Daphnia pulex: one gene and its partner. Each later gene encodes a partner of the first gene's protein in a complex. Links are inferred from orthologs where the notes say so. Each region holds a gene or a part of one and is shown on either strand. Other genes may lie near its edges.

What was found. Proteins that work in one complex are often made in the same cells at the same time.
Region 2: the proteins of elongation factor 1-gamma-like (region 1) and elongation factor 1-delta-like are in contact, whole or in part, in a crystal structure (PDB 5JPO), measured with the Homo sapiens proteins. The link is inferred for Daphnia pulex from reciprocal best matches to the Homo sapiens genes EEF1G and EEF1D. Residues at the interface, in NP_001395.1 of Homo sapiens: Tyr9, Trp13, Arg14, Phe40, Gly41, Asn44, Gly56, Lys57, Val58, Ser104, Val107, Pro108, Ser111, Thr112, Phe115, Ile120, Met121, His123, Asn130, Glu134; in NP_001123527.1 of Homo sapiens: Ala2, Asn4, Phe5, Leu6, His8, Glu9, Ile11, Trp12, Phe13, Lys15, Phe16.

What each region holds. Positions count from the first base shown.
Region 1 is NC_060020.1:8,828,899-8,832,911, reverse strand, and holds elongation factor 1-gamma-like, read right to left. Parts: upstream 2,767-4,013; 5' UTR 2,484-2,766; coding exon 2,472-2,483; intron 2,364-2,471; coding exon 2,214-2,363; intron 2,148-2,213; coding exon 2,084-2,147; intron 2,021-2,083; coding exon 1,878-2,020; intron 1,801-1,877; coding exon 1,503-1,800; exon of another isoform or gene 1,448-1,502; coding exon 1,088-1,447; exon of another isoform or gene 1,014-1,087; coding exon 889-1,013; exon of another isoform or gene 862-888; intron 790-861; exon of another isoform or gene 726-789; coding exon 570-725; 3' UTR 504-569; downstream 1-503. Other genes in the region: uncharacterized protein LOC124193185, read left to right, coding at 3,184-3,280, 3,356-3,572, 3,792-4,013. UniProt on the Homo sapiens protein: Probably plays a role in anchoring the complex to other cellular components.
Region 2 is NC_060024.1:3,942,237-3,945,270, forward strand, and holds elongation factor 1-delta-like, read left to right. Parts: upstream 1-1,168; 5' UTR 1,169-1,310; intron 1,311-1,378; 5' UTR 1,379-1,385; coding exon 1,386-1,490; intron 1,491-1,549; coding exon 1,550-1,630; intron 1,631-1,687; coding exon 1,688-2,036; intron 2,037-2,102; coding exon 2,103-2,228; intron 2,229-2,292; coding exon 2,293-2,447; 3' UTR 2,448-2,534; downstream 2,535-3,034. Other genes in the region: signal transducing adapter molecule 1-like, read right to left, coding at 2,723-3,034.

The DNA.
Region 1 (4,013 bases):
ACATGATCACAGCTCGTCTTAATGACCAAGCGAACCAATAAACACTTTGTAGCTGGGCTTAGAGCTTGGATCACTTGAGTATAAAATAGTTAGCCAAATTGTTGGTGTAATCGAGCACTAGAGGCACTACTGTTGATTATTCCTATTTCGCCTGTGAAATCGATCCATCAGCTTGGAAAGTCGGAGAACCTGGTGCTCTGTTGTATGTTAATCCGCCTTTTTTTGTAAAAAGCTTTTGTGCACCATTTTCTCGTTCATAACAAATTCTAAATTTTGTTTGATAATTGGTATACCAAACCACGCAAATTATTGTTCAAAACGCTTTGAGATGTATAAATACTGCTTTGAAGTTATTAACATGAGCGTGACTTGCAACTCATCAAAGGGGAGTGTAATAAAATGGTCTGTGACCCCAATGGAGAATCAAAGAGGGGATTAAGCAATATATTCTTAAATCAGCAAGCTAAAACAATTTAATGTAAGTCTGAATGAACTCCAACATATCAAGTAGCTCATCAGTTGTATTGATAATGGTTGTGATACAACACTCCACGAGTATAGATACCAAACTACTTGAAAATCTTTCCCTGGTTGAAAGGACGACCATTTTTATCAGTGCCGGACCAGGCAAAATACTCCGCCACCATCTTCTTGGTTTCATCTGAATCAGGGTTCAATTTCTTCCAGTCGTATGTCTCGTAGTCAATCTGCCAATCAGGACACAACTAAACAAAAAATATTGTTAAAACTTAGATCCATTACTTCAAGCAAAGCTAAGCTTAAAAACAGGTAAGTCTTATTACTTTCCCTCTACTTGTTACACAAAATATCGAAAACAAAAAATATTTGTGTCTTTGAAAGAGGTAACATCATTGTAAACCATCTTACCTGGAAAGCTAAATCTTGCCCACGCCACACCCAAATTCCTGAAATGGTACAATCATTGTCTGTTCCAAATAAGCACATGGATGCAAAGCATTGTTTCCTCATTTTATCCAAACGTTGATACATGCCTATTAAAAAATGTGAATATTATGGGATTTCTTCTTTGAAAACAAAAAAAAAAAAAAAAAATTGTGGAATATACCAGAGATTAAATTGCAAGACATGAAGACTTTGGTAAGTTCATCAGAGTATTTGTACTCTCCAAACCAGATAGAATAATTTTCCTTGTCGAATTTGTCCCAGAAATAAGGGATGGATTTTGACTCTTCATTGTTAGAATAAAATCTTTTGAAATCATCCATGTTGAATGTTCCTTTGGGCATTTCATCAAATGGATCCTTGGACTTGGGTTCCTCTAATAGGGCTGCATCAGCTGCATCCATTTCCTCAGCCTCTTCTGGCTCTTCCTTCTTTGGCTTTGGTTTCTCTTCTTTTTTCTCTTTCTTCTTTTCATCCTTGACAGATTTCTTTTCTTCCTTTTTCAGAGATCCAGTTATTTTACCTGTTGACACATTGGATAAAAATGGCAATGAATTAAATGTTTAGAATTTTCTTACTCTGAAATTCAGCAAACTTCTTGGGATCAACTGGACACTCTTTCTGGCATATCTTAAAGTCTCCAATGATGGCTTTGAATTGTGGTTGGTTAACACAAGTAATAAACCATCTATTCAAATTTTGATAAGGCTTCCTGTTAGTTTCATCACAAATGCTCTCATAAAGGTGGAGAAGATTGCTAGAAAGAACAATATCTGCAAGAGTTATTTTCTCTCCAACCAAAAAGGTGCGTGTAAGAAGGTGGTTGTTGACGACAGACAAAATAGCCTTCAATTCTTCTTTAGCATGTTCAACAGCCTATACAAACAATACACCAATTAACATTGTACATATAAAATTAGCTTTGCACAAATAAACTAAAATAAGAAACATACTTGTTTGTTGTACTGAATGATTCCAAGGACAGGGAAAACAATAGTACAGGACAGTGGAAGAATTTCACTGTCGGCAAATGACATCCACTGAAGGACTTGGGCCTTTTCCACGTCACTGTTTCCTCGAAGCTGCTGGTTGGCAACTGTTCAATAACACTCATTACATCTCAATTCCAGAGGAATACTATTTTAGTAGTAATATTTACCGAAATATGCAATTGCATTGCTCTCAGCAATGCACTGCCCATCTTGGGATTCAAAAGCTGGAACCTATCAATACAATCACATAGACTTAAAACTTTCCACCATGAAAATGAACCGCATAAAGAAAATTACCTTTCCCAACGGAAATTTCTTCAAAAAAGTTTCACTCTTGTTGGTCTCGCCGAAGACGAAGTTGGAAGCGACATTTATTTTGAAACCAGAGTATTGAGCAGCAATCAAAGCCTTATTGGCCCTGAAGTTGCTTGGGTAAGTGTACAAAGTCTAAAATTAAAAAAACCCGATTAATTAGATATTGGACAACAGAATCACGCTTTAAAACACAAGAAGATGTCACGGAATTTCTTAGATTCAAACACAGATCGTACTTACTCCAGAAGCCATGATGATCAAATGCAGGGACGAGAACCTGACGTGGAACCAAGAAGAAGTCTGCTGCAAGAGAGAACGAGCTCAAACGTGAGAATAGTTGAAAATTTCTACATGGCAACGCTGTTAAGCGCGCAGCCCTTTGTTGGTCTGCCTTGCGGGCCACTCTTGCAGAGTTGCAGTTAGGATGTGGAAAGTGGAATGTGGAATGTGGAAGTGGAATGTGGAGGTGGAAAGTGGATACTTAAAACGGAATAGAGCTAGAACTTTAAAATGCAAACACTAGAATGCGACACTAGAATCGCCGCTAGACCGACCTGGAACCGACGGAACAGAACTATGGTTTTTTTACGTTTACTCATGCTCTTCTTGTCTTCTAGAGATCAAAGGCTACCTGACTTCTATAGGCTGCCGGTCGTGCCACGACATCTTTGGGGAGAAACTGAGAATCCATGAAAGCATCAACTGTCTTAGCAGCACTTAGCAGGAAGGTGTACTTCGGTAGTTCGGTCTCGGTGGTACTTCGGTACTTCGGTAGTCGGTACTTCATGGACTTAGCACGAAGACAAGAAGTGTATCAAGCTCAAACTGTGTTAAAAAGAACAGTTTTACGCGAGTCAAGAAAGGACTTCAAACCAAACAATTCAAATATTTTCAAATAATTAACTCAGTGCATTCATCTGAAGTCGGAGCGTTAGTGTAGAAAGTAAACAAAATGCCCGCCATTGTTTTAGAAAAGCCGAAACTCAGCAGACCTATGTGGAATTCATTAAAATCACACATAATCAGAGAGAGACAAAGGAAAAAGCAAGGTTGTTATGATGAAGCTCCACAATAATTGTGTTAATGTTTCAATTGTGCTCTGTAACTCATTTACTCTTAAACAGAACAAGAAGCTGATGCTGAGGTCGAGCGACAGCGAAGAGAAAGAGAAGATCAGCAAAAAGAACAAGAGATGACTTTAGAAGAAACTAAGGAACAAGTTGCTCAGTCAGAATCCAGGCTTTCTCAACTGAAAGAGGATAAGCATCAATTATTTCTGCAACTCAAAAAAGTTCTAAATGAGGATGATACGAGAAGAAAAATCAAAGAATCCAGTTTCAAGTATGCTATCTATTTTTTCTTTTAAAATTCATTCTTAGCATAGAATAAGAAGACAATATTCATGCTGAAATATCCTAGGAAGTGTGTAAATAGTAAATGGACACTAAAAGTTTAATTTGGTAAAATTTTCCCTACCAGTGTTCATATCAAGAGTGATCAATATCCTATGAAATTTTTGTCCATATGAATTAGATTAGAAACTCAAATATTTTTCATTAGCAGTGATATGATGCTGTTTCATCCCTATCCATCTGGAGCTCCATTAGTGCATCCAAACACCCATGGTTCTGTGTACATGCATCCTAATCTTGGGGCTTCAAGGCCAGTATTTAATGGAGGGAAGGAAGAAAGCATTTTGAATTTGCAAGGAGTGCCTCCTTCATCACTTTATGGACAAGCAATCAATATGGTTCCTTCTCTTGGACATCAAAGTCAAACAAA
Region 2 (3,034 bases), on another chromosome or scaffold:
TTATATAGCGGATTTTTTTTTCGTAATCAGTTATGTGTAACACGGGTCAAAGAAAATTAAATAAAAATTATATATTTGTTATATTTTTATATCCATTTTACATAATGCGTTTGACATGTTATTCCTTATTCGGCCGTTATTCGGTGTGCTATGGTATGATGGTAGGCCTATGTCCAGCAGCAACGCCTAATATAATGACTATATAATCCTATTATTTCTTATTTTTTGAAATCATTCTCAATTCCAAATTCATAATAGTATCGTTGGTTATATTCAAATTCAAAGTCTTATTTCGTAGCGATCCCGATAACAACGGCCGCGACGATAATGTTCAAAGAGTAAAGAGTGGAATCCTTTCTTCAGCGGGGTCCTGATCCGTTGCTGCTCGATTTTGGAGAAACCGCATTGGTTTGCCGTGATGACCTTGCCGCTGGTCCGGTTCAAGCGGCAGCCGAAAACCAGGTCGTGGAACGTGTAGGTGAACAAGTGTTGAAGGAAGCGAACCCAGCCGTACTCGAAGTCGCCGGATGTGCTCCCATTCCAGTAGATATATTTGCCACCCTATATGCAATAAACATTTAATTGTAATTTAATATCATTCATAGTATATACGCTGAATCATCGCATTAACTTTTAAATTATCTTTGTGAAATTTCAAATTTGCAATAAAAAAAAAGATATTTTGCTAATTTTTTTTTAAACCTTCGGTTACATTTTTCAGGACCCAATCGCGGCTAAAACCTTGGACGGAACACGGAACGTATGTTTGATGCGACCAAGGAAGGCCCCACATGCCACATGCAAAAATCAGGTTTCTTGAGTACCGTACGGAAGACAAGGAAGCCCCCGGAAATTATGGACTTCTAGATCAGACACTGGCGATTATGCTGGTACCGGTATCCATGCCGATTATCTATGCTGTAGCAGAGTAATCCAGGAAGACTCTGGCTGTAGCCGCTGTAGCTGTAGTCTGTACGTATACACCATGTTTCAGTTTGAGTAATAACAATTTTCGCGGGCAATTTTCGCTTTATATATCTGCACTGTATTGTATATTTTAATAATTTTTTTTTTTTTTAAATATTACTGATTAATTGAAATGTTGAACCCTGTTGTCAATCATTTTTTAAATTAGAAAAGCAGAAAGATACAAATACAACTCTCAATAAAAAATTACAGCTTGGCATCGTTGTTTTCCTGCCTCAACGTGGAGCTCATTCTGCTCACCTAACTGCTCACTGCTCACTGTTCTGCTCAGCTGTCACCCCTCTTGGTTACTGAACGTTCGATCTTGCTCCATTGTATAACAGGTGACTAGAAATCAAAGAAGAAAATGTTTCGTTTATTCATTTATATGCCTTATTTTCGTATATTTTAGATTAAAAATGGTGAACAGCGCTGTAAATGAAGCATTGTCTCGCGAAACAGTCTGGTATGAGAAGTTTCGTTATGAAGATGCGGAACGTCAGTTCCAAGAAATCTTGGCAAAGGTATGTTAATTTTACCTTTTAGTTGAATATTTCTTAAATGTTTGAATCATCAAATTCAGGGTTCAACAGGACCAGCATCCTGTTCAGTTGTTGCTGAAATAATGAAAGCCAGGGATCAGATTAAAAGCTCACTTGCTGCTGTAAGTTCAACTATTTTTAACATGGTAATAGAAAATTGAAATTGATTTCATGTACAGGTTGAGGATTTACCTTCCTCTGGTTCTGCCATTCCATCTAATGTGACCAGTCGACTCCAACAACTGGAGCAGGAAAATAAAGATTTGAAAAAAGTTACCGATGATCTCCGTTCATTGGTGCTGAGTTTGGAGTCCAGGGTCAAGAGTTTGGAAAGCTCGAAACCTGGAGCAGCAGTTCAAGCACCAAAACCTAGTGCTCCTCAACCAGCACCTCCAGCTAAAGCAGCAGCAAAACCTGATGATGATGACGATGATGATGTTGATCTGTTTGGATCTGATGAAGAAGATGAGGATGCTGAAAGAATCAAACAGGAACGTGTTGCAGCATATGCTGCTAAAAAATCTACAAGTAATAGAATTGTCCATTTCATAATAATTGTATCTTACTACATTTATTTTTCATATTCCCTAACAGAACCTGCTCTGATTGCCAAATCCAACATCATTTTGGATGTTAAACCGTGGGATGACGAAACCGATATGGCTGAAATGGAGCGTCGTGTGCGTGAAATTACGTCCGATGGCCTCCTTTGGGGCACTTGTAAGTCAAATTAGTCAGTTTCGACACTATCCTCTGCAATGTTTAACTTTTATTTAATTTGCAGCCAAGTTGGTTCCACTGGCATATGGAATCAAGAAACTCCAGATTTCCACAGTCGTCGAAGATGATAAAGTGTCTGTTGACTGGCTGACTGAAACTATCCAAGAAATTGAAGATTTAGTCCAGTCTGTTGATATTGCTGCCTTTAACAAGATTTAAATTGTTTCAAGCAACATCACTGAGAAATCTGCAATTACTATTGCGTAACTTGTGGAAATAAAAAATAACAGCTTTAAGGGCATCAAACGGAAAGTTCTGCGAAATTTATTGTTTTAACCAACGTAGAGTAACTAAATGAGGTTGTAGGTAAAGGATGATGAAATTGTAAGACATTTAACAACCGAAACGTTGGAAGAATTGAACTCTAAGGAGAAAGGGGGTTACAACAAGGAGAATGAAATTGTAACTGTACAATTGCGCAGCTAGAATACAAATTAGAAATTCTGAGGATGGCCAGAATATGGGTTAACAAAAGGTTGTTGGCCCATATTAACCACTCCATAAGGCATTGGATTGGGGACTTGATTAGGAGGAAATGTAGCAGAATGGCTAACAGGTGGAGCAAATGGAGCTAAAGAAGGACTCTGTGGAGGTGCTTGAGGTTGAGGAAAAGGGTACTTCATGTTCCCGGATACATTCATGCCTCCGACAGGCCCAATGGGTGCAACGTTTGCGCCAGGATATTGGTAGCCAGGGACAGACATTCCCATGTTCATATTTGGATGGGTTTGGGGAGGCGCCGGCAT